Linked DNA regions of Arabidopsis thaliana. The protein of the gene in region 2 interacts with the protein of the main gene of each other region in a pairwise test. Each region holds a gene or a part of one and is shown on either strand. Other genes may lie near its edges.

Region 1 (7,942 bases), on a different chromosome or scaffold from region 2:
AATAGCCAAACCCACTTCACACACCAAAAAAAGTCTCGCCAGACTACGAAGCTTACTCAACCGCTTCCAAATCCAACTCCCAGAGTTGTACGGATTCAAATCCAACTACCAGAGCTAAATTCTATTTCGTTATTTTAATATCATTAACACACCTCTATTATGAAACCTCCAAGAATAGAAACCACTAAGTTTAATAATTCAAATATTCTATATAGATATAGCTACTTTACTATGTGGCACATCAACTCCACAACTATTAATTCCGATATCGTATCGCACTCGCATATGTATTGTAATTTTCTATACATAAATAAATGTTATATACATAATTACGTATGTGTGTGTGGACTCTTGGTCTTTGTCTTTCAACTATTTAGAATTCAAATGGCTCGTTTCTGACGTATCAAAATCTGGAATAATGCGACGATAATCTCTACGTACGTGACTCGATTTATTTTAACATACATACTAATCAATCATATTTTATATTAAGAAAAATTAGGCAAGTATCGTGTATATATATATATATAGTATGTGGCTACATACTATTATTGCCCACATACAGTAAAACCTCTATAAATTAATACTCGATAAATTAATAACCTCTATAAATTAATAAATTCTTCCGGTCCCGAGTTGGGACCACTATAAAAATTGATACAAATCGATAAATTAATAAGATAATAATTATTTTGAAAATTTTATGTAAATATATGGTCCCATCAATATTATAAATTAATAATTGTATAAATTTATGAATATATATATATATATATATATTTATATTTATGAATATATATTATGTAAAACTTAGTAAAATATGACTTTAGTATTGTTTTTCTTCAATTTATATTAATTCTTTGTAAAATTCAATTCTAATAATTTTACTACGTATAAAAAAGATTTTTTTTTTAAACCTAATAATGGTTTTATACTTGTAATTGATTTTTAGAAAAATTATTGATTGTAGAGAGGAACTACCTTTTGGATTAAATTTTTGTAAAAAATTACAAATTTTTTAAAATCTCTCCATAAATTAATAATTATTAATTTATCGATAAATTAATACCTCTCTAAATTAATAAATTTTTGTACTATTATTACCTAGAAAGTGAAAATTGACCTACAAATATATCTTCAATTTGATTCACATATACGAAGTCACGTATGTTTCTATAAATTTAGATCCAAAATGTGTGAAAACCCATCTGTTTTTGCAAATTCTTGCAATTGCAATTGCACATGTTTCTATTACGTTTAAATCAATCGAGCTCTAAGTGATTTATCCATAGTGATATACAGATCCAATATCCATGAAACATATTTAATTCATGAAAAGGCTCAAACATTATCAACAAATAAGATATGGTCAACTATGTAGTAACTAGTAACACGTAGGCTGCTGCTCTTTGTGGCAAATTCATGCGCAAGCAAAGCCTCTAGATGTTTGACAAGTTACTACCCTAATATAGCATCACTAGCTATCTTCTAATTTTTTTTTTTAGTTATTTTAATCCTGTATTCTTTTATTTATTTATTTGATAAAGTGATGAAATTTTATTCTCCTTTTTCTTATCAACTAATATACTTATTCATTCACATAATTTCGCACTTTGCGGAGTTTTCATTTGTCGTTAAACCCGACAGATTCTTGAACCGCAAGGAACGAGACATTAACCTAATGTACTTATATTTAACTATAGTATTATAATAGCATAAATGTGACAATGATTCGATCACTACTAATATATTAATCACCAATCTATATCGTCGTCCTTCCTGATTATTTGAAGATTTTGTCTATAAACTAGCTGCTTTTGTTTATGTATTTTTATTACTTGGATGCTTTTGTTTGTTGGAATATTCGAATGAATTTTTGTTTGCCTGAAACTATGCATATATAATAAGGCCATATGCGCCAATAATATAGAATCCAAATATTCATTAACTATAATTAGTTTGTTCTAGAGTTTTAGCTACTCATATATTCAAATTCTTAGGAGATCAAAAAAGTACTTAATTAGTTAATAAAATCCATTTTTATTAGTTGTAATTAAATGTAAAGTGTCGAAACACGAAAGGGAAGATGAGTTGCACAACTCGTGGTTCCTATAAGAGTGATAATCTATCTGACGTCACGCCATGCAAAATGTATCAATCAATTTTCTTCTCACATTTATATTTACTTCAAAATGATTATAAAGCCACCCAATGAATAATAAGATATATATATATATATATATAACTCAAAATCAAAAATTTCAAATGGAATTTGGAAGCATCACAAATTCACAATCATGTATTCAAAATCTCACGTAGAAAAAGCTAATAAGTCCAAAAGATTGGTCTTCATTTTTTTCTTGAGAAAGTTTGATGGGATAGAGAGAGAGACAGAGAGGAACAGCTAAATTTGCTGTGTATGTATTTAATACTTGAACATTTATTTATCTATTTTCTTATACATCAAACTCACGAATTTATAGGTTGGTAATGTCGTTTTTATAACATTAATAAAAATTGCAATTGTAGTTTTTATTGAAATTTACCCAAAAAAAACTATTATACGAAAATATGTTATTTATTTAAAATTTGATATTAGATGAATCCAGAATCTTTTATAAAACTTGGTGTGTGTGAACCTGCGTTAATTTGTTAAATACTTTTCACGTAAAAATCAAAATTAATTTTAAAAGTTATGTTACCAAACAGTATTCTGATAGTTTTACAAATTTTATCCATTGTATATGTTTTGTTTTTGCAAAAAAGTCCAAAGGAAAAAACAAAGCAGAAGGGTTGAATTGTGAGGAAAGAGAGAGTACGTGGCATCATAACTTTGGCGACAGCTAATGTGAAAACAGCCAAAAGCTACGGAGAGCGACACTCCTCGACGACGTCCATGTCTCTTTAGATTGTGATTGCATTGTTAATTATCATATTTATCAATTGATTAGTTAAGTCTTAAGTATCATCACACAAGTTTATACATTAATCTATACAGTGTTTAACACTACAAAACTCCCCAAAATCACGTGTTTCATATCATACGTACATTTGTCTACCGTCTTTATTAACAATATTAAAACAGAATTTATCAATTTTCTAGTTGAATAGACTATATACTATTATAGAGACTCTTATAAATTATGAAACTCCTAATCAATTAAAAATAGTTAATTTGAAACATATCACTCGAAACTAGGGTATTAGTTGGATTGACGATATTTTTCTTATTAATATCAACGAGAAGAATCAAGTGTCGTTAGCTCAATTGGTAAAAAATTTAGGCAAAGCTTAGAGATGTCTATTTGAGTGACGCTTGGAACAAAAATTACATGCTATGGTTTCAGGCCTAGAGAAATGCTTCGATCCAGAATCTCTTGATATTCAAAAAAAAAAAAAAAATCAACAAGAAGAATGTATAAATGGTTTCTATACTATCTAAGTTATGAAAAATATTTTTGGTTACCCAAATTACAAGATTTGTACCGAAGTGTCACACTAGATTCACATGCATGCATAGTTATAATTAACTTAAAACATAAATGACTTACAAAAATACTTACAAACAAAAACCAAATTAAGTTATTTAGTGGCCAGCTTTGTTACTAGAGTTTTAGCCATTATCATAATTCACAATAAGGTGTAGGAAAAAACATTAATATATAGTATGTATACATCCAAAAAAAACTTTTTGGAAAAAACAAATTTTGGGATTATAAAGGACACGTAGCCCAATCGATGAACAGAGGACGGCACCGAATCAATTTGACTTCACCTTTTTTCCCCATATGATAAGAGTCTCATCTCTTTCCTATATATATTTCGTACCTCTCTTTAAGGACCCTACGTCTCTCTCTTTCTCTCTACTCTCTGTTTCCTCATAATTCAATCACTATATTTTTTTAAAAACATTTGACTTCATCGATCGGTTAACAATTAATCAAAAAGATGGGACGATCACCATGTTGTGAGAAGAAGAATGGTCTCAAGAAAGGACCATGGACTCCTGAGGAGGATCAAAAGCTCATTGATTATATCAATATACATGGTTATGGAAATTGGAGAACTCTTCCCAAGAATGCTGGTTAGTATACGTATCTTCATTATTACATTTTAATCATACTTTTTTTATTCGTGAATTGTCTTTTTAAAGTTTTGCTTGAATCTTGACTATAGGGTTACAAAGATGTGGTAAGAGTTGTCGTCTCCGGTGGACCAACTATCTCCGACCAGATATTAAGCGTGGAAGATTCTCTTTTGAAGAAGAAGAAACCATTATTCAACTTCACAGCATCATGGGAAACAAGTGAGTTTGAACTTTTCAATAATTTTATATTTTTGCCATTACGTAGTTTATACGAAAACTACTAATCTTGTAGATTAGTCTTAGAGTCATAGCTTTGAATGATGTTACTAGTGATTTATGTTAAATCTACAATGCATCAGATTCTAACTTTGTTTGCTTTCGTATAGGTGGTCTGCGATTGCGGCTCGTTTGCCTGGAAGAACAGACAACGAGATCAAAAACTATTGGAACACTCACATCAGAAAAAGACTTCTAAAGATGGGAATCGACCCGGTTACACACACTCCACGTCTTGATCTTCTCGATATCTCCTCCATTCTCAGCTCATCTATCTACAACTCTTCGCATCATCATCATCATCATCATCAACAACATATGAACATGTCGAGGCTCATGATGAGTGATGGTAATCATCAACCATTGGTTAACCCCGAGATACTCAAACTCGCAACCTCTCTCTTTTCAAACCAAAACCACCCCAACAACACACACGAGAACAACACGGTTAACCAAACCGAAGTAAACCAATACCAAACCGGTTACAACATGCCTGGTAATGAAGAATTACAATCTTGGTTCCCTATCATGGATCAATTCACGAATTTCCAAGACCTCATGCCAATGAAGACGACGGTCCAAAATTCATTGTCATACGATGATGATTGTTCGAAGTCCAATTTTGTATTAGAACCTTATTACTCCGACTTTGCTTCAGTCTTGACCACACCTTCTTCAAGCCCGACTCCGTTAAACTCAAGTTCCTCAACTTACATCAATAGTAGCACTTGCAGCACCGAGGATGAAAAAGAGAGTTATTACAGTGATAATATCACTAATTATTCGTTTGATGTTAATGGTTTTCTCCAATTCCAATAAACAAAACGCCATTGGAATAGAGTTATGTAAACATGCAATCATTGTATTTGTTATATAGATTTTGTTACATATCCAAAATCCAAAATACTATAGTTTTAAAATATTTATTACTAAAGTATATTCGTCAAGGGGAAAGCAACATCCCACCAGTAAACAATATAAAGCTCAGCTCATAACATTGTTTTAATGATGGAGTTTCTATTATTGGTATCTATCTACTCTTTTGTTTAATATTTGTGGTCGGCTTTTCTTCTACATAAATGCATGGAGATCGTATCAACGATCATATTAAAATATGATTCGAAGATATATACTATAATTGATATCATACATGGTGCTGAAATGTTATCGAAATAGAAAGGTAGATAAATAATTGATAGTGAATAATTATATCATTGACTTATTATCTCTTGTTTCTCTGAAGAAATAAACTAATGATAATTTATGAACCAAAACAATACTAATAACAAATGTTTTGAAATGGAAGTGGGCCATTAAGTCAATCAAAAATTTGCACAATTTCACTAGAACCAATCAAAATGCACGAAAAACTTTCTATTTTGACCACCAGAGAAGTCTTACGAATTTACTAACCGGAATCCGGCGAGACTGGCCGGAGCGTGAACTAGAAGTACACGTGGTATGGTAGCGTACGTGTGCAATTGGGGTCAGATCACGGGACACAATCTAATGACCAGACGCCACTTGTACGACACGAAAGCAATAAGTGGAAAACGTAAGGAAAAAGTTGAAAGAAAAAGCTCGTTTTAATTGAAATCACGGTTTGTGTTAATTAATCACCTTTAACACGTGTTGTACGGAGAGCCAACTGAGAGTGGGGACGCGTGGGGACAAAGCAGCATGTGTAAACACGAACGTCGGCATTTTTTGGGATGAGCTGTTTGTTTTGACCCCTTGTTCGGTTTTTCCAGTGGATCTTTTATTACGTATAGAGTCAACATTTTTTATAAGAATAAATTATTGTGGTAATTAAATAAACCTTGTTTTTTTCATTAAATAAAAACTTGTTTAGTAAGAGAAATTTCATATTATTTTCTTTGGTTTTAATGCTAAGAGTCTTAACGAAATTAAACAATTACATATCTTGCCAATTTTGAATGCTTAATTTGCAACTAGAATAAATTGTATATATCTAGTTTTACTTTTTTTTTTCTTTACTTTTTTTTGGTAAAATATATAGTTTTATTTTTGAATTGACGGAAACGTAAGTGGGTTAGTTGAGTTGTTTCTTTTTTATATATACGTAATTAGATATAAACGTGCGGTATACCGTAGATACTCTTATATTTTAGTTAAACTAAAATTTTTTATTGTAAAAGTGATTTATAAATATATAATATTATTTTATGGATTTTAAATGTATAGTAAACTGCTAGTTGTATATTTTTGTTGATATTATTTATATTGTTCAGTATTTAAGATTATACACTTGTATTTAATTGTTAATTTTAGAGTTTCACCTATAATTACCATCTTGTATTAATATTGATTTAAACCCGTCAATTCTAAGATTTTCAAGCTTGTATTAAAAATTGAATCACATCATACACATAAAAAAATCTAATATGTTATTAATTATTATAGTATATAAGATTATAAATTTTCAAAATAATATGTATGAAATTGAATATAAATATTTAAATTATAACCCGTTACTTAGTAGAAAGTTTTCTAAAATCTATTTTTGACCTGTTATAATATTTTTTCATGTATTGAACAGTTTATATTCGTTTTTAAAAATATAAATCATGGCACATGCGAAAAGCTAATTATTCTTTTATAACAATAATATTATTTTTTCGCAAAAATAGAATCATATAAAGATGAGAGATGAACTATAATAATTAATAAAAAATTAATATGATAATTTAGATATCAAATCTAATTTGTTGATTTTAATTAGTTATTTTTTTTGGAAATTAATAATGTATTTCGTTTGTCTAATTAAATTAAATTAATTAAAATTTGGATATCAAATCTTATATGTTGATTTTGATTGGTTACTTTTTTAGAAATTAAAAATGTATTTTGTTTTTTAATTAAATTTAATTAATTAAATTAGTATTTGACTTTTTAATATTTAAAAAGATGAATTATTTTACTCTTTGAAATTTTATTTTTAATTGCATACCTATGTAATTACTTACAAAAAATATGGTTATTTTATTATGTATTTCCCAATAATAGTATAGGATTATGTTAGCATATATTTACAATGTTACCACATTTGATTTTATTTTTAATATCTTTTGTTAGCAATTTTTACTGAATGTTGAAACTTGTCAAATGTCACTATTCATCACGATTTTCAGTTTGAGCGAGATTTTTATCGATTTTTTTGGAAACTTTAAAACACTGTCGTCATAGTATACTTTTTTCTAAACATCAAATTTCCAGGACTATAATAAGAGACTATAATAAAAGCTTATAACAATAAATTATTAGCAAGTTTTAACAAGAAAAATTAAAATCTTTCATATGTTTTAGGCACCCTTAAAAATAATTTCCTTAATTGTTATTGGCCAACTTTTAATATTATACAGTATAACCTCTATAAATTAATACTCTATAAATTAATAACTTCTATAAATTAATAAATTTTTCCGGTCTTAAGTTGGAACCAGTGTAAAAAGTGACACAAACGATAAATTAATATGATAATAATTGTTTTGAAAGTTTTATGTAAATATATGGTCCCATCAATATCGTAAATTAATAATTGTATAAATGTATCAACTA
Region 2 (8,881 bases):
TTCTCTGTTACTGATGTTAGCTGTAATCTCGTAGCTAATGCAATTAATTTTTCATATTGGCCTAAAGTTTTTTTTGCTAACGCTCATAAAAAAAATCTCATCATATATTTTCATATTGTTTGTGAAGAATTAATAAGATGACTATAAGAGAATGAGAAGAGATTTTTTCCAACTTAAATTCTAAGAAATAATTTTTGTATATGAAAAAATCCTCGTCATATATTTTCATATTGATTGTAAATGTGAGGTGTTCGGTTTTAGGGCAAATGCTTGGAGATACTTGCTCCAAGGCACATAATATTTGACGATCAAACCCCTAGTCATATTCATTTCCTCTGCAATGAGATAAATATTTTCTCTCTTGTATTTGGCTGCAGCCACAAGTAGTTTTGCGTCTCTCTCGAACTCTTTTCAACCCTTCGATTTCACCATGTTTCTGATTTCACAAATGAAATCGATGAGGAAATGAAAAGATATGGGTGGTTTATATAGAACACGTACCGACACAAACAAAATTAACTTCAAGTTTAAGCTCCAACCTTCACTTTTACTAAATTGAAGCTATGATTATACTATAAGTTGTGGTAGTTTTAATTAGTTTTTGGATTTTAAAAGCAAGTTCTATTTCCACGCAATTTCCTAACATTTTACTTTGTCCTCAAAGATAGTTTCTTTTAACCTCAAGTTAACCATTCTATCAAGGAATACCGTGTGATGACAATGCAATAATCACTTAACTCTATGTTGGTGATGTTAGTTGTAATCTCGTAGCTAACGCAATTAATTTTTCATGTTGGCCTAAACTTTTTTTTCTAACGCTAATAAAAATAAAATTCTTTTCATATATTTTCATATTTGCTTTTGATGAATTAATTGTTATTTGATAAATTAATATGAATCAAAAGATTTGTCATATAGACAAAAACAGAATGAAAAACAACTTAAACTCTAAGTTTTGGGTTTGGACTTTGGACTATACTATAAGTTGTGGGGTTTTGAATATTTTTGGATTTTGCAATAAGAAAAGAAATTAAATAAGATGATGAATTGTTTTAGATTGTTACTGAGTTTTTTGTTTTGTTTTTTGTTCTGTCAAATACCAAAGTGATCATGATTGAGAATGGTTAAAATCTTCCAAAAACTATAGCCTCTCAACTTTAGAGGAAAATCACTTTAAAAAAAAAAACTTGAATCGGTAAGAATGAGTTTCTCAAAAACAAAAACCATTACAAAATCTAGCGAACCTTCAACAAACAAGATCATACTCTTCAATTTAAAACTATCTTTCTTATGGAAGAGGTGTTCCTTATTTCCATATCTCATATCTAAAACTAAAACCTTGCTTACTCTGCTGTATAATTTGGAACCCATTAGCAAGCTTTAGAAAACAACGATCTTTAATATTTGCAATCTCTTCAAAGAAAACGAATCTGAAACTTTTTTCTCACTAAGTTTTTCTGGAGAGTAAGAAAAACAAACCCAATTTTCCAATGTAGTAAAAAACGAGAAAATACAGAACAAAACCTCTGTCTCTACAACTAAAACATCTTACAATGAACTCTTTTGCTTTTGATTACCAATTTCTTCCAACCGTTTCCACGTTGCCTCACGTTTTGCGCCAATTTCAGCTTCTTTTGATTCATCTTCTCTAAACTTAGCAAGACAATCCTTAAACAACTCTGCATCAATGTCATTAAAGATCTTCTGCACATTCAACGTCAAGCTATGAACAGCTTGGTTCCAATGCTTCTGAGTGTTTCTCTCCAATGCAGGGAATATGATTGGAAGAATAACTTTCCGGTTCTGCATTATTAGATTCTCGATATGATCGTTGTTCCATAAGAACAAAGCTCTTTCTGCAACCTGCAAAACAAAATAAAAAAAGTCTCAACCTTTTTGTTCTTTCTTGAGCTTGCTTATACAAAGATTCAAGCTTTCGAAATAATCACAAAGCTTTGTTCTTATGGATTCAATCAAAATATCACGCATTTCAATCTTGTAAGAATTGTTCCCATCATTCATGATTCACAGAATTAGCAAACCAAAGGAAAATACAATTACCTGAAAATGGAGACTGTTCAAACACCGAGCAACTTGGCGAAACAATGGGACCATACACCGTTGGAATTCAGGTGGTTGAGTTGCTTCTAATACTTCCTCTAGCTCGTTTAGAAACATGACTTCTTTGGAACTATTTGTGACAGGCCAAGACTTGAGTAGTCCCCTTATAACCGTATCAGCGAGTTTGCAATCTTTTTCCACAAACTGTGTGATACAATAAGACAATTGCTGATGATACATTTGCAAGCTTTTCGGTTTGTGAAGAGGTACCAAAGCTCTAACCAAAAACACTTTATGCTCGTCTTTAAGCGGCAGAGCAAATCCATTGATGATACTTCCCAAAATCTCTAGAAACTCAGCAATCCCATTGTGTTTCTCAGTCTCGAAAACAAACCGATAGAAAATGTTATTAATGGATTTCCTTATGAAAGGACGATGAACCATAAATTTACCGTAGATGCGATGTAGAACGGTCTTAAGACAATCTCTTTCTCTAGGATCCTCTGAATCAAATAAATCAAGTAACCTTGAGACAAAAGATTGGTCAATGTATTTCTTAGCCAGCTTGGTGTCTGTCTCTGGTGAAGCAATAAGCCGCAGGAGAATTTCATAGACAAGCTGCAAGTGAGGCCAAGTAGGATCCATAGAAGGCTCTTCTTCCTCCAAGTCTAACGCATCAATAACTTTATTCTCGCGCGGTTGAGGATTCAAGGTTCTGAATATGTTAACAGAAACCATTCTAACCACTTCTTGAATCACAGTTTCACTAAACTTTCCATTAGGAGAAGCTACATAATCCACAAGCTCAAGCAATGTCTGCCGCTTAATATCCTTTTCCTTAACGTTCTTCGTTGGATCCGAGAAATCGAAAACAACACAGCACAAGCTGAGTTTTCTCACAAACAAGTTCTGTTTCTCTGCATTAGGAACATCTTTGAAACCTGGCAATGCTTCATATGGAGTGAAACCGTTACCATTTCCTTTCAAATTCCCTTCTTTAAACCCTGAATCAGCAGAAGGTTTTACAGGAGGAGCGTTCTGGGTTTGAGAATTACCCGATTTACTGGCGCCATTATCACTACTTTTTGAAGTGGAACTAGATGAAGAAGAATGGTTCTTAGAAGAAGACTTCTTAGGAAGCTTACTCAGAATCTGTTTCCACATAGTGTATTAAACTCAGATTCTTCTTTGTTCATATCCCCAAAACAAACATCTAGAAGAACAATTTCATCAACTCCATCTGAATAACAGAACAAAAAAACAAGAAAAACAGATTAAGAACCTGAAATATTGAAGATATGATACTAAAACACACACAAAGTTAGTTATATCAAGAACCTGAAATGGAGATAAATCCCAAAATTTACCAAATTTATTACAACAAAACCATTTTTTCTTCTTCTTTATTCACTCACGAAACTCAGAAACAGAAAAAAATCACCACTACAAACCATAAAAATCGAAACTTTCGATTCTGATTCTGAAACAAACGCAATCACAAAATCAAAAATCAAGAGAAATCGCACATTACAACACCTCCGATTGCACAAAACAAAGGTCAAAAGTAGGAAAAAAAAAACGATGAATAATGAAATAAAAAAAGCTTACAAAAATTCACATTCAAGTTCTTCTTCCAAAAAAAAACCTCCTTCGATGTTGTTGATTGACTTTGAAATTAAGAATTTGTACCCTTTAGATTTGGCTCAAATCATTGCGAATTGTTGTTATTGTTCTTGATTTTGGTTTTCTTTCTTCTTCTTTGAGATTTGTGACTTCTCGTGATCCAGTTATCTATCATTCTCTCTTCTCCTCCGATGGCTGATCAAACTTTTTTTTCTCAATTCTATTTTAATTTAATTTTAATTGTTTTTTTATTCCCCTTTATTTTAATATTGTTTTTTTTTGTGTGTGTGTTCGGTCTGGCCTGCCAGGTCCACTCCTCCCTCACTTGAATTAGTAATTTTTACAGAATTTTCAAGCTGACAACACTTCAAAATGTTTTAAAATTCCAGATTTTAATTGCCGACCGTAACACTATTATACGACATAGTTTTGAATGTATGTAATAAAATCGGTTATATTGGTTTGGTTTTTCGGTTCAATCTTTCTTGTGTTTAATACAAACTTAATTTCGGTTTATGGTTTTAGTTATTGTTTTGTTCCAAAGAAGAGTGTCTCATTTCTTTTTTGACATTTTCTCCCTTCGAATCTTTGATGCATTTGGTCTTATGGATGCACACAAGATGTAAGTTATATATCAGATGCCAAGGTGATGAAGTTTGATGCATCAAGATACAAACATCACATGCTAATATTTGCAATAACAGATTGACATTACAAAGTTTATATGGCAAAAACATTCAAACCAATTTATATAACCAAAACTTTAAATTTGTAATTATCCTTATCCAAAACCAAATCTCTAGACTAAGATAGAGAAAACCTAACTTAAAGTTAAAACCTTTTTTTTCATTTTGTTCTGAGGGGGCTTTTGTGTTGACGGTGGTGGGAACAAAGGAACATCGTATCCATTCTGTCCGGGAAACACAGCAATGTTCATTTCCGACAAATCTCGTCCTACTGATTTCTACAAAGACGATCATCACAATTCCTCCACCACCAGCACCACACGCGATATGATGATCGATGTACTCACCACTACCAACGAATCAGTAGATCTACAATCTCACCACCACCACAATCACCACAATCATCATCTCCACCAATCTCAGCCACAACAACAGATTCTCCTCGGAGAAAGCAGTGGAGAAGATCACGAAGTTAAAGCACCAAAGAAACGAGCGGAGACATGGGTTCAAGACGAAACTCGTAGCTTAATCATGTTCCGTAGAGGTATGGATGGTTTATTCAATACATCCAAATCTAATAAACATCTCTGGGAACAGATTTCGTCTAAGATGAGAGAAAAAGGGTTTGATCGATCTCCGACTATGTGTACTGATAAATGGAGGAATCTGTTGAAAGAGTTTAAGAAAGCTAAGCATCATGATAGAGGAAATGGATCGGCGAAGATGTCGTATTACAAAGAGATTGAAGATATTCTTAGAGAGAGGAGCAAAAAAGTGACACCACCACAGTATAATAAGAGCCCTAATACACCACCTACATCAGCCAAAGTTGATTCCTTTATGCAATTTACTGATAAAGGTATAAACTTTGGCATCAATTGTAGATTTCTTGATTTGGATTCAGAGAACGTAACTGTGATTATGGTTTTTGTTGCTACTATTTGGGAAAATTCTTATCTGTATCTTAGGCTGAGAAGATACTACATTTTAGAGTAGGTTTCTTATTGTGGTTTTTCAGTTATCTTTAAAGAAGATGATAGTTTTGGTAAATGAATCTGCGTATGTGGATTTTGTGCCTTTAATTTTCTTTTGGCTAAGTGGTAATTTTATCTTTCATTGTAGGTTTTGATGATACGAGCATTTCTTTTGGATCCGTTGAAGGTACTTATCTATCACTATTAGTTTGTTTATTATAGTATCTTGCTATGTATACAAAGAGACGAGCTTTTGTTTGTCTACTGCCTCTTGAAGTTGTCTTTTAAGTTGGTCGAAAACATCTCCCTGAGTGAGCAATAGTAGAGGTATGAACTTGCTTAGTGAAGTGAACATTTGGGACTGAAACAAATAGTAAACATGACTGTGCCGTAGAATTCACAGGCAGTTTCTGTGTTAGATGGTTTAGTTTTGTTTCTAGAGGATGTGTGTGTGTGTGTGTATGTTTGAAAAGTGTATATATATCTATGTTTCAGCTAATGGCAGGCCAGCCTTAAACCTTGAAAGGCGTCTTGATCATGATGGTCATCCTCTTGCAATCACTACAGCAGTTGATGCTGTTGCAGCAAATGGAGTTACTCCTTGGAATTGGAGAGAGACTCCTGGAAACGGCAAGTCCTCAGAAAAAGCTTATATAAACTTAAGCCTCAAAGTTTAATTTTCTATAAGGCTAAAGATATGTTTTTTGAACTGTATGTTTATGTTCCAAGCATGGTGTAATATGTGTAAGAATCCACGTTTTCTCATTTTGAGGTTGCTTCACAGCCTCTGCTCCTCTGCTTGATTTATTCGTTCGGTCTCTTTATAACTGAGTAGAGCTTTTCATTTGTTTCATGTTTATACAAGCAGGTGATGATAGTCATGGTCAGCCTTTTGGTGGTAGGGTCATAACAGTGAAATTTGGTGACTATACAAGAAGAATCGGTGTTGATGGTAGTGCAGAAGCAATCAAAGAGGTAATCAGATCTGCTTTTGGGTTAAGAACTCGAAGGGCTTTTTGGTTAGAAGATGAAGATCAGATTATTCGCTGTCTTGACCGAGACATGCCCTTAGGGAACTATCTACTCCGTCTGGATGATGGTAAGATTAAATTTGCCACTATTCGTATCTTTTGAACTGTGTGTGTGTTTTTTACTGAATTGTCAGTATGCAAAACCCATCTTGCAGGACTGGCCATTAGGGTTTGCCATTATGATGAATCCAACCAATTACCAGTCCATTCAGAAGAGAAAATCTTCTACACTGAAGAAGACTACCGCGAGTTTCTGGCTCGACAGGGATGGTCAAGCCTGCAAGTTGATGGTTTTAGGAACATAGAAAACATGGATGATCTTCAACCTGGTGCTGTGTATCGAGGTGTGAGATGAGGAAATGAGATCACAAAACTTCTTCTCCAATTCTATCAACAGTTATCTGATCAGAAAACAGTCCCCTGTAGATATGATCTCATTCTCTTTATACATTTCTTCTTTTTTTCATGTACTTGCTCAAATATGAAATATCATAACTGGCATTTACCGTACAGACCAAGAAGACCTCAAAATAGATTTTTGGTCTGTTACATTTGTAAGAACAGAACATAAGAGAAGTGAATAAATTGTTCACAATCAGACGAGCGAGTGTTTGTGTGTGGTATCAGAGTCATTCTTCATCCCTTTTATTGTTCTTGTATGAAATGAGTGTGTTCGACCTTGTCAATCTGCAAAGCCAGAGAAACTTTCTGAACTTATACTACTGAGAAAACACTATAATGATTTGATTAACAAACACTAGTATCAAAGAATGTAATTCAACCACTCTCTTGATCCAGGTGAACGGTACAGCCACATCGGTATCAGTAAATGCTCCCAACACAACAAACACACCTTATCCAACCGCCAAGCCGATTAATGTCTCTCTCTCTTACATGTTTCATGGAGACAAGGCAAGCAAGTTATGCTGGAAGCAACTTGTCTCATTATAGCTTGAATCTCCCTCGTGATCTCCTTATTACTTTTCTCCTTTGAGACAGCGTGAAAAGGAGGAAGACAGAATCAAGACAGCATAAACATCACAAACATACAAATGAAACTGAGTTAATTGAAATGTTTATGCATAAATAAACCAACTTCTAGATCTTAAATATCACGTAAGTGGAATAACATTGGTTATAAGCAGATCATCAGGATAAGATTCCAATAGTTAAAGTTTTGCGTCAATAATTGTTTTTGTCGAGAAGGTTTGCATCAATTATTGCATCTTTCTTTCTATCTTTTTTTTTCTTTCTCTTAGAATCGAATTTTAACATATACTTTGATAATGATATATTGTGGTTCTTTTCACTTCACGATTACTTTAGAACATTGTGAATAATGACACTTCAAAATAAAAGGGATAAGATCAGAAATAACATATGAAAATTCCACAAAATCACTACAAATAATTCAGATAATGAAAAAAATACATGTACGTTATGTTATAAAATTCTCAAATATGGTTTTCAGCAAAAATAAATTTGGTTTTTTACTACAAAGTACAAACCAAAGTAAATTGATTTTACAAAGAAAAACGAATTAGAAAATCGTTTTTAAATCATAGAACTTATTCAGTCGAAGAGAATGGCTGACACTTGACGGGTCAGTTATAACTTATAAGTGGACTCTTGGAAATGATCATGAGTTATAGAAAGATCACAAACTTCAATTTATGATATATTGTTGACCTCAGATAATATTTTAGCTATTTATTGGATGTATAAAGATCCATATGAATACCAAAAGAAGGAGTTTTATAACCATTCACCTAACAAAAATGAAATGGAAAAAGAAAAGAGAGCAAATAAGAGGAGGAGAAGAAGAAGACTTTTGGCAAAAGCCAAGAGTCATACCTATTAGTCTATTACATAAGGTGTGATGTTTTTTTTTGCTGTCACATTCCATCTGACCTACCAAAGCTCTCAAAGTGGAGCATCTATTGTGTCTTGGTATAGAGTCACGATTAGATAAATATACAACACCATATGTACTTGTGTCAAATTATAAATATTTGAAACAGTAAGCAACCAGTAATTCGATAAAGACGTCTACAAGCATCTACACATCTAAATTGATTAAAACAAAACACCTTTAAATATAGTGTTTATGAAGTCAAATCTTCACCTTGATTATTCTAAAACAATGGTTGGAGTAATGTTGCTGAATGTTGAGTGAGAATTGACATTTGAGAGTAACTTTCACTATAATGAACTGGATGATAAAGTTGATCCGATAATAATTGAATTTACCATGAATGGTATCACAAGATACATGTATAGAAGACAGTGGTGTTACTTGTTACGCAAAATTAAAAAATGAGCATACTATTGCAGTTACTTTGGATTTATTAAGGAAAATTATGGTTTGACAACAACAATAATACAAAATCTTATGAAAATTAAATAAAAAGAAAAACAAATTTGGCTATTGGCAAAGCTCATTGGCTGTCAAAAGGAATATATACAAAATCTGCTACGTTGCAGTCTTGCGTGCACCGGCCCAGCC
Region 3 (7,692 bases), on a different chromosome or scaffold from region 2:
AGCAATCTCTGGTTGTGATTCACACTTTTGTTTCAAGAAATACTCCACTGCTTTCACATCATGATTTGTTACTCTCTCAATCTTCTTAATTTCCAATGCATCGTCTATGCTAAATCCATCGATTATGCCTTGCAAGAAACTCTGAGCTTCTTTGCTAAAGCTTGGAACTTCAGTGACTTCAGGAATATTCGAAAGCTTAAGAAGCCATTTGATCTAACAAATATATAAAAATATCAAAGTTTAGGCAAATGAGTACACTAGACCAGACAACTAAACTACTCGTACAAAGAGATATAGCATGACATAACTAGTACAATCTTCTCAATCAATCAACCAATCAGATCATAACCCTTCACTTACCTCGACAAAAACTCGGAAATAGATCAATCCAAACTCGCTCAAAGAAGAAGCCAAGTCCTTAACTTTACTCCAATAACGTCCATCCAAAGGCGATAACGCCGTTAAATTCGACATCTCCAAGTCTCTAGAGCTCACTCCATCCATTGCCGTCACCTAAAGCATATCAATTTATCGCCAATTCTTATCGAAAACATCCAAACAACACATCATTTCAGCAAAACCCACAAATAAAAAACTTACCTTTGTTGAAGTCACTAGCTTGGGAGAATCAGTAGTAGTAGAAACAGAGCATGAAACTCTCGGAAGCCGATGATGTGAAGCCAAACACACTGATTTTGATGGGTTTAGGAATATTCCGGTGGGTGTAAAACCGAAAGAAGGGATTTTGGGGTGTGTTATAGCCATTGAAGAGAAATTGAGCTCCATTTTTGATATAGTGTGATCTCAAAGGTCTAAACTTTAAACCTAGATTCCAGAATCAAAGCACGATGTGAGTGAGTCACTGGAAGCTTTGCGTAACTGTACCGCCGATATATAGGGTTTTAGGAGATTCCGATTAAAAAAAAACACATGTGCATTTTTTTTCTTTCTTCCATATTTACCCTTGATGTCCCTACTTATTACGCTTATTGGAGGAGGATTATTTGTTACTTATCACCTTATCCTTTATTTTGAACACGTTTATTAATAGTTTCAAATATATGGATTAAAAATGCCTTCAAAATAATTTGGAGGGAAACTTTAATAATTTATAAATCGTCGTATTGTGAATCAAAAATGTTTGGACAATGACAAAACAATACTCATGTGTTTTATGTGTAGATTTATATCTCACTAAGAGTTTGTCATATACTGATATAACTGAAATGAACCAAAAACTGTTTATTAATACCATTTGAGGTTAGTTAGTACAATTATATGTCATGTATAAGATTAGAAATGGGTTAACAAGCGGCGGTCTCAATGGTGGCGTTAAATGACTAAATGTAAACATTTTACTATTTAGATATGATGATAAGTAGATTCACAAAAAAAAATTACGGTGTTAATTTTTTGTTAGTTTTCTCTGTTATGTCTAAACGATATTAGTTTACTGTACACTACGATGTCGTTTTATCGATTGAAAATAGACAAAATTCCTAAATCGAAACTCATTTAGCTTTTAGAGATTGAATGAGATCAAGGTGGATAAAGTAGCTTAACCTTGATCCCAAAACTCTATAGCGTCGATGGCTGGCTTTATTTCTAATTGTATCGCCGTTTATCTCTTTGGCGATTATAGGCTAACTTTTGTTCCGGTTTGATGAACTGCAACTTGAAAATTGAAAAGTTGTCTATTGAAAAAGAAAATGAAAAAAAATTACAAATTTAAATTAAGTGAAATTATTCTCATCAAGCTAAATAGTTTTTTTGGGCGAAGATTGAGATCTACCGTCTGCATTAGTTTTCTGACGATTTCAACCTGAATTGAAGCTCTCTAGTGTTAGAAGATTCTACCAGTGACGGAAACTCCATCTCCTTCAATTTCCCACGTGTCAACCCAACATGTTTCCCAATTACCACATATCCCTTGTGATATATACAACAACTTTCTCTTCAGACAAAGTTCTTTAAACTGGCTGTTGGGCCTTTGCCCATGTATGTTTTATATTTGGCATGTTAAATTGGCGTTGTAGTATGTAGTATGAATAAAAACACACTTGTGACAGAAAAATAGATTAACGTTTTTTTTTGTGAAAAATGTAAAATAAATAAATAATCTTGACATATAATTATACAATATATACATGTCTATATATGTATACCTATCAAATTAGCAACGGTAGTTTTCAATGTATTTCTGTCAAAAAGAAGATAATAACGTCTCCAAATAATCACTTCCCAAATCCTCAAACTCAAACAAACCAAACACATCACATACTGTCTCTTCTCCAGTAACCGTCTTCTGCATTTCAACTTCTTGACACATAGAATCTTCATTACTCCTTCGTCTCTTTCTTAAATCGAACCAAGTTTCTTCACTCCCACGCAAACCACGAGTCTCCGAGTGCTCCTTAGTTGAACAATAGCTAAGGGCACAATGGTTTTCAACCATCCCATCAACGACTTCATCATAAGCCTTAACCGCCTCTTTTCCTGTTCTCAATCCGATTTTGCGGCTGCTTCTTAATGGATCGGACGTATTTGAGTTGTTCATCCGGTAGTAGTTTGGGTTGCAATCCATTTCCATAGCTTTTATAACTGTTTCGAGCTGAAAATTTGTGTGAGCTTTTTGAGTACCTCTAATTCTAACCGCGGCTTTATCGTAAGCCATAGCTGCTTCCTCTGCAGTTTGGAACGTTCCGAGCCAAACCCTAACACCGTTTCTCGTCGAATCCCTGATTTCGGCTGCAAATTTCCCCCACGGACGCTTCCGTACTCCCCTGTATTTTCTTGTTTTGCAAGAAACCCGAGAAGACAAAGAACATGAATCAATGGTAGGGTTGGTTAATGGATCATGATTGGTTTTGTTTGGGAAAGAAGCAATAGCATCGAGAATCTCTGTCCATTCCTGGTCCTCCGTCGACATATCTAGGCTTTGAAGCATTTCTCTAGAACCTTCTGGTATGTCATCAAGGGTAGGCAACGCTTCCCAAGTTCTAGAAACTTCTGGAACTTGAATTGATCTTGTATCGGTTTGTGGTGTTCCGATGTAATTCGCCCAAACGTTCTTTAGGATCTCGCCGTCTAGTTCTTGGATATTGCCAAAAGCCATTGTTGAATCAGAGAGGAGTATGTGTTGGTGAGATTTAGGGCATTTTAAAGAGATTGTTGCTTTGGGGGTTTTGTGTGTACGTTGAATGGGAAATCTGCGGCAGGATAATTGGGAAGTACAGTTGGTGAAACTTGTGTTCTAAGGTACTGACCGCATTTCATGGAGGGTTTTAGGTTCCACATAAAATCAGGGGTTTTCTGTGTATACACACACACACGTACCATTATGTGAATAGATCATCTTAAGTCAACTTCAATAAATTAATTTAATAATGTTACCTCAGTTTGAAGTATAAAGATTGTGTACTATTTTCATTAAAAAAGTGCAGATTGTGTACTCTTGAAAAGGACTAGATGCAGAGTATTAATTCACTTTTGTATAATAAACATATTAATCTTCAGTTTAACGCTTCATGAGAATCTATGACGTGTTCCCACCAGAGGCACAAATCCGTTTTGGAGAATTGTGATTATTAAATCAAACATAAGTTTATTGTTTTAATGTTTCGTTCCACGCTCGTCGCATTTTAAAAAACTTTTTAACTATTTTTTTGGTTATAAAAAGAAATATAGCTTCTAAATGACTTGTTTCTACTGTTAGATTGATGAACCTTAATACTGATTTAGCTTTTCATACATCGATAAAGAATTCTTCGGTGTTTAGTTAAGTTTGTTAGAAGTTATTATTTTACCATACGATCACAGTTTAACGCATATTGCCTAGAGAATATAATATAATGATAACTAAACGCTATCAAAATGTGAAACGAAATAAGAAAAAACATGTAAGGGCTAAGTCATCACTAACTTTTTATCCAAGTATTATTTGTATGAGATCATTTTCCGTAAGTCCAAAGATTTGAAACAATGATGAGAGGTGAATAGAATATATAAATTCCACACGCTTTGAAACATAGCTTACAATTGAAAAAAAATGAAAAAGAGATTAATATCTCTATTCAATGTATTATAGAGAATGAGCTAGAGATACTTTATATGGTAGGTTCAAGTCACCTCAAGTACGTATCAGCTAATATTAAAAAACTATCTGCTAATTTTTATATCAATCGTTTAAGATTCATTCATTCGTTCTCCACTACGAGAGTTTCTTGCTTTGGCACATATATAGTTCAAGAAAGTCTCGTGTTGGAGAGACTCCAAGCGTGCTAGAGCGTTTCGATTAGAAAGGTGTTTTGTTCGAGCATTAAAGATTGTTGCAATGGTTCTATCTTAAGGTAGTCATTTGTTAAATTTTGGTATTCAATCTCGAGAGCTTCATAAGTCTAGCGAGCTTCATAAACACACTACAAGTCATGTGTATAAAATTTCCAATTCTGTAATCACAAGTCTAAACTTAATCTGAATCCAAATCACAAAAAGCATTTTCAAAATTGATTAAAAAAAAAACTACAATATAGAAAAGATTTTAATTGATGCTTGGAACGGAACTAACATTACCTGTTATGATTTCGGGCCTGAAAGTATTCTGAGTTTTGATTCAGAACCACTCGGTATTAAAGAAAAAGAAGACTTACTACAAAAAAAAAATTATATATATTTTTATGAATTATTATAACCAACTAATATTGTCTCTATTGGTTCTAAGTTCAAACTTCTAACCTTCGAGGGCCGGGTTCAAATTCCAGTAAGTGATTTATTTTTTGCTAACAATTCTCTTATGGCGGGAAAATTGACTTCTGTCGAGAATTAGGGTTTCTACAAATCTTTCTCCGTTCTAATTTCGGATTAAGATTTCAATCTCTCCTTCTCGTTTTCTTCTTTGGTGCTGCTGAGAAGAAATTAGTGAAATTGTGAAAGAGAAGATGTCGAAAGAGACGAAGGGTAATAACAATACAAGCAGAGTGATGAGTGGCTATGGCGGTAGCTTGGAAGCTAACACCTTGGCTATGATTGATTCCACCGGAGCTAAAGACAGTCGCGACGCTAACGAAGATCGTACGTTTCCTCAATTTTCAATCTTCGTCTTTGTTTTTGTTAATTGTATTGATCCTTTGAATGAAAAACCTTAGGTTTGCAGTATCTGGAAGCTGTTCGTGCTGCTTCACTTGTACCCGAAAATGGAATTCCTCCAACCAAGTAAAAAATAAAAAACTCTGTTTTTCTAAGAAATTTGAAGTTTTTACCTCTAAAAGAGTACTGATTTTGATTTGGGTTTTGTTTAATTTTGAAGCAAAATGTACCAAGCGATTTTCAGGATATTGAGATTTGGTAAAACATTGGAACTTATCACAGCAAGTTTCCAGCTTTTGACTCAATTACATCAGGTACTTGTTGCAAGATTTTGGTAGTGTAATTTGTCCAATAACTTTTATGAGGTTTCAGTGTTTTGCTTATTATGATTATGTTTTGTTTCAGCGGTTTCCTTGGGTTTATGTATCTGATTCAGCTGATCAGTTGGACATCGTTGACGAGGTACTTGTTACAAAAGTTTTGATGTGTTTTTGTTCATTCTTTGTTATGGTGGGGATGGTTGATTTCATGTGTTTGTTTATGGTTTTGTTTTGCAGGCTTGGTCACCGTTTAATTTCGGGTCTGATGTTGATTCTGATGAAAAGGATTTATCAGTGAGAAGCTTATGTAAGGACGTTTGTCTTCTCTTTTTGAGTTAGCTTTTTGTTGGTTCTTGCTAAATATGATTTTTTGTTTGTTTTATGATTTCAGTTTTGCAACAGCTGATTCAGAACATGAACAAAAGAGTTAATGAGTCTGAGGAATCAGATTTAAAGGTTGATTTATTTGTTATGTTGCAGATAAGCTTTAAAAATTGGTAGACTTTCACACAACTTGTTGTTATTTGATTCTTTTGTTTGGATTTCTGCAGATCCTTGGAAATATGTTTCTGTTCAAGTATCTTGCTCATGTTCTTAAGCTAGATTTCACACCCCGAAATCAAGTGTATGAAGGTATAGATTATGTCTTCATAGTTTTAAGATTTCTCTTTATCTTGTTAAGTTTGGGGAAATTCTTAGAACTTTTTGTGTCCTTTTGTGCTCCAGAAACTATGAACTGGAGTCTCTTAAAGGAATCTTTTCTGAATCTACTTCTGGTACATCCCACAATCAATGGCTCAGAAACTAGTATAGTAATTTATTTGTGATTTTTAATGTTATGGTTCTGCTTGTAGGCTTCAAGAAAAGTGAATTTCAAACTTCTAATGAAAGATTATCTATCAACAATGTGTGCATCCATTGATGCTGATGAAAAGTCTATCAGTTTGGTAGAATTGCACAAGGACATGCTTACTGCTATGAAAGAACTTCTAGTAATGGTAAGTTTTCGGTTACCAGAGTATTAGTGTTTCAATTTTCGGAGCTTTTTGCTCTTACGTTTCTGTTCCTTGTTTAGATCATGGAGCTTGATACATCAAAGAAGAAAGCTGACTTAGAAGGGATTACCTCTAGAGGAGATGGCGTAAGGTAATGAGTTTCTGCCTCACTTTTGAATTGTGTTTTCTCCATGTTTGTGATCCAATTTGATGCAGGACCCCTGCAATGGAGATCATTCTCGACGAGCTGACTTATGATGGATACTTGCTGTCAAAATTTCTTCAGGTAAGAGACAAACCACTTCTGAAACTCACTGTGGTCTGTAAAATTCTTCTCTCTGTGGTTCTTGAGTGAAAATTTCTTAATCAGGTTTTCGATGATCCTAAATGGAAGCTAGAGATTGTTCTCCAATACCTTACTAAATACATTCCTAAGGTTTGTTGTTAATTCTCTGATCTCTCGCTCTCTGATTATCTTCTCCAACAAATGATGTACAATATATAGTTATTTCTCTGATTTCTCTCTCTGACCAAATTTCTTTCATGTTGTAGCCTGTTGTACGTACCCGAAGAACAACTGTTCCTCAAGCAGAGGATTCGAAAACACTAAATGGGATCTTGAAGACGTTTTCAAATGGCACAAATCCAAAGAACATCACTAAAAAGATAGGACCTGACATTGTTCAGATCCTCATCGGCCATGCCTTTCTGGTAACACAATAATACCTTTGTTTCTTCTTTCACGTTCTCAGAGCTTTTTTTGGCCTCCTAATGTATTTAACTATTCGTCAGGCTCGGCTTACATTCTCTGACCCTCACGAAGGAGACTCTATTTCAGAGATATGCAGTAGTATCATCTCTGCATTTACTAGTCTAAAGCGAGTAGATCAGTAAGCTGCAGTTTCTTTCACTCTCAGTTTTTTTTCTCTTTGTGCAATCGAGATACTATACCGCTTTCCTTTGTCCAACCGAAAGTTTAATGGTTGTTATAGGAAAATCGAGATTCTACCGTTTGGGAAAGAAGTGTTGTTTACTGCAGGAATGGTACTCAAGGCAAAAGCTTAAAGCATCTAGGAATCAAGATTTTAACAAATCTAGAGACTTCAATTGGATTAGAAGCAAAGAAGTTACAATGTAATGTAGGAATTAAGAGTTACAGATCAATGAATTATGAATTTATATATTCTATAGTTTTGCCAATACAAAATGAGTGATCTTATGATTCTGTTGATGCCTTTTTCTCACTTATGGAACATATCAAGACTTGCTTTAGTAACAAATCCATGCCTGAT
Region 4 (8,196 bases), on a different chromosome or scaffold from region 2:
AAGAATGACACATCAATAGATAGATCTGGGAACAACATCGAGATAATCTCATATTTGGATCAGACAAGACAAGATTTTGTACCTTTTGTCGGACGAGCTACCCTTCTGGCTCAGGAAGGATCTGAATAGACCAGAGTTCACATCATAGATCATCTTCACTCAACTATCTCGTAAGCTTCGATTACCGGAAGAAGGGGAAGATCTGGACAAAATCGATGAAACGGAAGCAGTTTTTTTTTTTTATATAGCTTTTTCGATCTCAGAATTTTGCTTTAGTGGCTGCTACAAGATACGAGTATAACCCTAAGTTTGCACATTCCAACCTTTTTATATTGTCTGGATACGTACTTGAGCCACTTTGGATCATTCTCTGTTTCGGCCTTTTCTCTTTTTATGGCCCAAATCCACCGAACATAACGATTTCTGAATTGGCACGAATTTTTTGCCCTTTGATGAAAGAAAAATCTCGATGGGTTTATCAAAAATAAGAATCAAGAAAAAGAAAATCAAAATCTCTCAACTGCAAGGACCAAGAAGTTGGCGTTTTTGGGTGCAGAAAAACGACACAGCGTGTTACTAATCAATGCCAAAATATTTTACATATGAAACAAAGAAAAGAGAGAAAAGCTTCTTAAATCTTAATCCGAGTCACTAAGGTAAAGTTCTCATGAGAGTAGGGTAACGAGGGAAACGAATTCAAGGGTAACTCTTCCCTTTGATCTCGTGTTGATGACGAAATGCTCCGGGTATTTTCTCAGCAGCATCAGCAAACCGTACCATGGTTTACCTTTTGCTTCAGGGATAGCCCAGTCTTCTTGTGATAGGTATCTTCTTACTCGACTGTGATGCCATACGTTTCCATACTCCTTTAATATCTGTCACAGACCAACCACTACCATGCATTAGCCATCATATTGAATCACAAAGAAGTTCATAGTCAGACTACACTAGTCATTCAAAATCTATGGAGTAACTGACATACTTTCTAGACTTAGACACATATAAGTAGCGTAGCGCGTTTCCATTGGAAAACTAATTAAGGACCTAGCTTCACACTAATTATCACCTTGACATTATACAAGTCTTGTTTCAATTGATTACTCGTACTACATTCTGTATTAGAAAAAGGCAAGGAACTTTCTCATAAAAACTAACCACCGAATGAAGTTTTTCCATAGGCATCCACTCTCCCGGACCACACAAATCGGAAAGCACAGTGGCAACAGACGATACAACATCTTTTTCCTCCAGCTGCAAAAATTGTTGATCATCAGCTTCACGATCTACCTTTGATCTTCCCTCTCTCTTCTTCTCTGCACAAATGAAGCAGATACAATGTCGTGGTGTCACTAGCATTCAAATTCAATCCAAGTCTAACAAGGTTCAATCAGCAACCACCACAATCAAAGTCTAAAGAAACAAGCCTGATGTGATCAAGTAAGCATCATAATCTGAAACATATCTAGTTGCACAATGAAAACTCAAACAATCATGAGCAATCTGGTTTTACCTCCGGAAGCATATACTACTTCATGTCCATCTCTCCTTGTTTTCTTTCCACTTCCTCTCATATCGTCCTCCTCATCGTCGTCGTCATCATCATCTTCATCATCGTACTCATACAACTCTCTACTCCTGACGCCCTTCTTACCCGACCCAGAACCTGGACCCGACTGATAATTATGGTATGGAACAACACTTGTTTGCCCAGAGACGTGGTGCCTAGGTCCCAACGGCCCGCCTAAGATGCTCCGAACCGGTAGGAGAAAGTAGAACTCTTTGTCTCCGATCTGCAAAAGGTCTTGTGAATCGAGCTTGACGTTAGGATTCCCAGGGAGATGAAGAACACCTTCAACGAGGCAGCCATTTTTGCCAAGGACCTCGAGAGAGAAGCGTCGTCTAGTGAAGTCATAGAAGATCCGAGCGTGGTTGCGCGAGATGTTCATCCCACCGCCGAGGGATGAGAGATCAACGTCGACGGTGGCTTTCTTAGAATTCCGGCCGAGTATAATGGAGTAAGACTGCATATAGTACTCGAAATCCTCACCTTGAAGCTTCGCAAATCCAACCTCCACATCGCTTCCGCCACCAACAGCCGTAGCCATGCCGTGAAATTCTCCGATTTGATCGAAAGAGGAACCGGGACTTCCAAATTAGGGATTGCAATCGTAATAATTTGTGAATCGAAGCAAGATTTGTTTGGAAACTGGTTTAGCTTATCCAGGACAAAGGCTTATTTTGTGAAATTGACGATTATACCCATGATTTTAAGACCTGAATAAAAACCCTAATGACACAACTATTTAAAACAGCCGAAGAAACATTGAGAATGGCGGCGAGATCTGTGAGCTTAAAGGTTCCATCTCTCCCGCAAATAGTGGAGCATCTTATTGATTGTTTGAATTTTTTGATTTCGTTTGCTTTAGAACATAGGCTTGGTTAGTTTTATGTAACCTTTTGTTTATTTTCGTTGTTGGTTTGATTGAATAAGTTGCCAAATGATGATTGAAAATTTTGCGCAAGGGTTTTGAGTTTCGGATGATTGGAGTTTACTCTGGTCTGAAGGAACCGTGACAAAATTATTTTCTAATAATTCATTCTGATGGCAGCTCAATCATTGTTAGATATATCAAATTTCAATTCGAGTTTTGGGTGCATGGTTTGATTCGGATGGTTAATTGTAGTTTGTTTTGTTAGTAGAAGCTTGGTTTTGGGGCAGCTTAATGAATTTTAGGATTCAAGTTTTCAAATCATTTAGCCTATAATGTTCTGAAATGTGTTGTGTAATGGCTTTGATTTCCTGAGGATCTGACTATAGAATGTTTAAAATCCTGAGGAACGGTGGGAAATCATGTATTTGTGTTTCTTTTTTTTTTTAAGATTCAGGTTCTACAAATTATGCTTAAAGGGCTTTGAGCTCCTGACCGCTTGTATTATGAGATCCAAGAAAATGTGAAAAGTCGTTTTTTTTTCCTTTCCCATTTTGATGGTTTGGGTTGCATTTTACTGTTCTTTTAGTTATCATGACTATGCTAGATTCTGGTCTGGACATAAGTTGCTTAAGATGTGTGGAAATTATGCGTAATGGATTTAGAATTGGCAATTTGTTATTTGAAGGAATTCACTTCTATAGATATCCTTTAATGGCACCCGTTCATGGTCAGCTCCAAATATGCAAGAAATCGGAAAATGCATTAGTGTAGTCCTCTTTTCTGGTATATTGTCAATACTCAAATCTTACATAAACTTTGTTTCAAGGACAATGAAGCATGTGGTCAAGATTTTGAGCCTGCTGGTAGCTGTCTCTGCCTTTTAGTTTGCTCTCTTGCAGGCTGCAATTATGGCTCGTAGCCAAACATAGTTGGTTAGTAATGAGTCTGTTGTGCTCATTTTTGCTTATTGCTATTCTCAGTTAGTCAATATTAATAATGTATATCTTTGCACCAGCTACCTATATACGTTGTAGTGTCCTTTGCTATTAATTGTTGGAATCGGTTTAGTGCAGTTCCCTACCTCTCCTAAAGAAGCAGTTTTTCTGCAGCGGGTACTTTCAGTACTCTTTTCTTTCTTTGTTAACTCGAATTGTTAATTAAGGTTAAATTAAGTTCTTGACTAGTGCTTTTGCTCCTAGCTGTTGTTAATGTTGATTATGTACTAGTTTGTTTTGGTGCTATTGTTATATTGCAGGATATTGCAGATGCAAAAAGACTTCTTAAGCGCTAACGGAATTGATGTTGGATCGGATTTGACACATTATGGTTTACTTCTTTTCAACTCCCTAACCAGTGTAATAGAATACTTGGAGTCTTCGATGGTTCATAGAAAGAGTTCCCATTTTCATTATGTACAGTCGTTTACTATGTTTTTTTGAGAGATGTACATTGAGAAACCGGTGTTTGCAATTGGATTTTGTTTTGGGGTTTTAAACATGATGAAGAACAATGTTATTCTGATAAGTTCACTTTAATTGACTTTTTTTTTTGGAATATCGTTTGTTACATTTTTTCTCGTGTATACAATAAGTTGTGAATCCAACTCTTTCAAGTTTAAACTACTTGAGATTAACTTAAATGCTCCAATAAAATTGATTGAATTGGATTTTCTAGTTTTGTTTGTTTTGAAGTAAAAAGTTGGACTTGAATGCTGATAAGTGATAATAAATTGACTTGCAACCATAACTGAACCAATCTAACAACATGTAACTATTCCAAGTTTATTATAAGCTAGATTTCTGAAATGGAAATGTCGTTTTAATTTTACATTTTTGCCGAGATGGTTAAAACTGGTAATCATATACATTACAATTTGGTTAAATGACCAAATCTATTTGATAACAAAGAGAGATATAAGTTAATGAAACCATGATTAGACAAATCGACAAGCAAAGAAAACGTTAAGCAAAAAACACTAATCATAATAAGCAAAAAGTCCATCCATGTTCATCACATGTACAAAGATCCTCTCTGTCACTCTAGACTTTTCCTCTGTTTGCTTCTTCTTACAAAATGACACACTTAAACCAAATAAAGAAAACATTTCCCCCAATCTTTATACATTTTCTTTTGAATTAAAGAAAAAAATAAAAGTGATAAAAGAAGAAGAAGAAGTCCCCAGCTAGCTCCTTAAAGAAGCACATCTCTTTACTCATTTCACGATTCCCCTGTCTCTTGTTTCTCTCTCACTTACCTCTTCTCGAGTTTTCTCCCATTCTTGGGTCTTCATCGAGACCAAATCCGGAGAAAGTTGATGTTTTTACAGCACAAACAGACACAGACACATACATGTGTTGTGTCTCCCTAATCCCATTATTACTAACTCGCATCCAATTCACACTTCTCTCCTAAATTCCCATCCTTTTCAGATCCAAAACACTCTCCTCCAAAACCCAGATTGCCAAATTAGGGAATTTGACACAAAACCCATCTGAGAGCATAATCAAGAGATAGAGAGACAATGGGAGTGATATTGGACTCATGGTGCTTTTGTAAAGGAGTTGGCAAAAGCGAGAAGATGAAAGGTTCCATTTTTACCGGCAAAGCTCCGGCGATGGCTCGAATCTCTGTCTCCGGACCAAATGGTGTTACTTCTGGAACTGGATTCCTCATTCACCGGAATCTTCTTCTGACCACTCACCTCAATCTTCCTTCCATCTCCGCCACCGAAACCGCCGAGGTCCGCCTTCAGAACGGTGTCGCTGCTGCTCTCTTCCCTCACAGGTCCCACCTCTCTCTTTACTCTCTCTTGAGTTTGATTCAAAATTTGATTTTTCATTTTCCTGTGTTGTCGGTTGCACGATCCTGGTAAATTTTGATGCAATGCCATCAAAAAAATTGGCTCTTGTTCAAATTTTCAAAAATGAATCCATATCTTTTCGTCAAACCAAAAGAACTTAAAAGAAAAGAGCTTTATACTGTACTTATGTTATATGGTAATGATTCTGGATCTGTAGCTGAATTTGGTAAGTTTTCATTTTAATTTCATAAACTTTAAACCAAAACATTGATATATCATTTTGTGATTATTGGAACATGAAAATTCATTTGTTCAGATATTTCCCAAAATGGAAACGTCTTGATTGCATCAAACATAATAAGAACCAATCTGAATTGTGGATTTGTTTGGTCAATGATGGTGTTTTCTGTTCTTTAGCTATCAGAAAATGAGTGTTATCTTTATATGGTGTCATTTGCAGGTTTTTCATTACGAGTTCAGTTATTGATCTCACTATTGTTGGCTTAGACCTTGTTGATGGAGACTCAAGTTCCCAGAGCCAACTTCAACAACAACCACATTACCTGAAGACATGTTCCAAACCAAACCTGGATCTAGGGAGTGTGGTGTACCTCTTAGGCTATGCCAATCAGAATGAACTCAAGATCGGCGAGGGAAAGTTAGTTGTAGCTACCGACAATCTCATCAAACTCTCAACTGATGAAATGATTTGGAGTCCTGGATCTGCTGGATTTGATGTTCAAGGGAATCTTGCATTCATGATTTGTGATCCGAGGAAACTATCGACATCACCAACCTCAACCTCGTCATCTTCCTCTTCTTCTTTGAAGAAAGATAACAACAAGACACTGATGATGCAGTTTGGTATACCAATACCAGTAATATGTGACTGGCTGAATCAGCATTGGGAAGGTAGTTTGGATGAACATACGACGAAACCTAAGTTGCCTCTCATTCGATTAATGTCTTCTGGTCAGAAGAGTGAGCGTTCTTGTACTTCATTCACCATGCGCCGTGTTTTCAAGCCAAACGACTCTGCTGATGTTGGAACACCATCTTCATCTAACACTAGAGATCAAACTCATCCGAGCTCTTCTATCGCTGCTGAGGAAGAAAAAGAAGAAGAAACCTCAAAAACCAATCCACAAGTCTGCGGAACTACTACTCATGCGCAGGGTATCCCTACCCCTGAGATATATGAATCGCCAAAGTTGACTTCTGGTCCTCTAAGAAATGAGACAGCTCAAGTACACCTTTTGGACATCAACTTTCCTCCACGGATACCTAAAGCTATAACCTTTCATCCTGAGCTCAACTCTCTACAGAGTAACCATATAGTGGAAGAGGCTGAGATTGTCTCTGAAGGATCAGATGCGCAGATTGCTTCGACAGGTTCAGTAAATGGTGCTCTCAGTGAGGTCATCTCAAGTTCACCGCCAGCAGCAGCTCACTATGTATATAACAATCATGGATACAGCAGCGAGGAAGAGACAATGTATTCTGCAGAAACAGCAGAAAGCCGAAACTACCCAACTCCTCCAAGAAAAAGCGAGTTTCATCATGAGAGAGTTGGAAGGAGTCAAAGCTGTGTGAGCTCCAGCAGATGGGGAACTCCTCAGAAGAGTTTGAATGGTAGAAGAGAAATGCTGGAGAAACAGAGAAGCTTCGTCCATGGGAAGAAGATGCATTCACAAGGAGCAATGTCACAGAGGAGTAATGACTATTACAGCCCAACGGTCTCATCTATCATGAAGAAAAGGATTAATAGTTCAGAGCAACAGATTATCAAACCGGTACCTAGACCTAGAGCTGTTAGTTCTTCACCAAGATGGGCGTTCTAAGGTCGATACAGACCGGAGAAAGAGCCACCTTCATAGAAAGAGAGACATCTTTGTTTAGATTTCGATATCTCTCATTCTTGTATAACCAATTTTATTTTAACTCTTGTGCAGACATATTGAAGAAAACAACAAATAGGAAACATAGAATCTTGAATCGATCGGGTTTAAGCCCTTAAAGCAATCATTGATTTTGAGTTCCTGGAAGTAAAAAAGTATTTTCGTTTTTGCTATCAGAACATAGATTGGGCCATGACTGTTGGATGTGTTCTTTGATCTGCACAGCAATGATTTCATGGGAATGATACCAAAAGAATAATCTTTTCATAAGAGGTAACTGTGGACCAACAGAAAAATGTGCAGATGCCATTACTGCCTTCTAGTGAACTTGAGAGAGAACATGCATACAGAGGCTTATGAGTTATGATGTAGAATGCTTTTTCTTAAGATTCAACAATATCTCCTAAAATATCTCAACAATCACTAAGCAATAAGGAACTACTCAAATAATGAAGATCACCAATGAACGATATCCATTAGAAAATCAGGTCTTCCATAATTCCTAGATATTTCTCTTACAAAACAGAACAATATTGACATAACAAACTACAACTAATGAACAACATTTCTTCATCGTTGGAGGTAGAATCGCTAGACCACTATCCCTGCAAGAGAAGAGAAAGAAAAGGATCTGAACGGCGCAATTTTTAGAATTCAGCAGAAAAAAACAAATCTCATTAGCTAGACTTACATGGCTACTAGTGATGTTTCTGTATCATTCATCTGGTGGTTGGAAGGAAGACCCGGATAAGGTCCTTAACAGTGATTTTTTTCCTACATGTCGGGCATTTAGCTTGGAGGGATAACGCATTCTTTATGCACTTTTTGCAGAAAATATGACCACATTTCGTTGAAACCTCCTGAGTAAATGGACACAGACAGATTGGACAGCTAAATTTTGGTTCCTCTACAGGAGGAGCCACAGCCTTGGACTTTCTCTGAACAAGAAAATGAAACTTGGTGAGCCAAACTCCAAACAGCAAAACTTTAAGAAAAGAAAAGAAAACCCCACCCACATCTCTTACCGGCTTGTTAAGCTCAACTGAGTCAACACTAGTTTGATCAG

Evidence for each region.
Region 1: the proteins of GT-1 (region 2) and MYB74 interact in a two-hybrid assay, tested with the Arabidopsis thaliana proteins (one large-scale study listed by BioGRID).
Region 3: the proteins of GT-1 (region 2) and AT4G18450 interact in a two-hybrid assay, tested with the Arabidopsis thaliana proteins (one large-scale study listed by BioGRID).
Region 4: the proteins of GT-1 (region 2) and FHA2 interact in a two-hybrid assay, tested with the Arabidopsis thaliana proteins (one large-scale study listed by BioGRID).

What each region holds. Positions count from the first base shown.
Region 1 is NC_003075.7:2,614,609-2,622,550, forward strand, and holds MYB74 (myb domain protein 74), read left to right. Parts: upstream 1-3,763; 5' UTR 3,764-3,948; coding exon 3,949-4,084; intron 4,085-4,176; coding exon 4,177-4,306; intron 4,307-4,473; coding exon 4,474-5,182; 3' UTR 5,183-5,339; downstream 5,340-7,942. UniProt on the Arabidopsis thaliana protein: Probable transcription factor that may function in salt stress response.
Region 2 is NC_003070.9:4,610,848-4,619,728, reverse strand, and holds GT-1 (Homeodomain-like superfamily protein), read left to right. Parts: upstream 1-4,469; 5' UTR 4,470-4,613; coding exon 4,614-5,229; intron 5,230-5,492; coding exon 5,493-5,531; coding exon of another isoform or gene 5,532-5,566; intron 5,567-5,839; coding exon 5,840-5,974; coding exon of another isoform or gene 5,975-6,021; exon of another isoform or gene 6,022-6,212; coding exon 6,213-6,443; intron 6,444-6,530; coding exon 6,531-6,730; 3' UTR 6,731-6,998; downstream 6,999-8,881. Other genes in the region: AT1G13460 (Protein phosphatase 2A regulatory B subunit family protein), read right to left, coding at 1,549-1,863, 2,062-3,225.
Region 3 is NC_003075.7:10,188,047-10,195,738, forward strand, and holds AT4G18450 (Integrase-type DNA-binding superfamily protein), read right to left. Parts: upstream 3,207-7,692; 5' UTR 3,116-3,206; coding exon 2,204-3,115; 3' UTR 2,185-2,203; downstream 1-2,184. Other genes in the region: AT4G18440 (L-Aspartase-like family protein), read right to left, coding at 1-213, 361-513, 601-786; SNI1 (negative regulator of systemic acquired resistance (SNI1)), read left to right, coding at 4,938-5,070, 5,145-5,211, 5,306-5,399, 5,491-5,547, 5,643-5,712, 5,797-5,861, 5,957-6,038, 6,132-6,181 and 7 more.
Region 4 is NC_003074.8:2,291,877-2,300,072, reverse strand, and holds FHA2 (SMAD/FHA domain-containing protein), read right to left. Parts: upstream 2,188-8,196; 5' UTR 2,106-2,187; coding exon 1,511-2,105; intron 1,314-1,510; coding exon 1,156-1,313; intron 876-1,155; coding exon 666-875; 3' UTR 501-665; downstream 1-500. Other genes in the region: AT3G07230 (wound-responsive protein-like protein), read right to left, coding at 83-153; AT3G07210 (uncharacterized protein), read left to right, coding at 4,954-5,216, 5,693-7,073; AT3G07200 (RING/U-box superfamily protein), read right to left, coding at 7,850-8,068, 8,156-8,196. UniProt on the Arabidopsis thaliana protein: May play a role in the control of plant organ development and specifically in the regulation of stamen development. Does not show transactivation activity in yeast.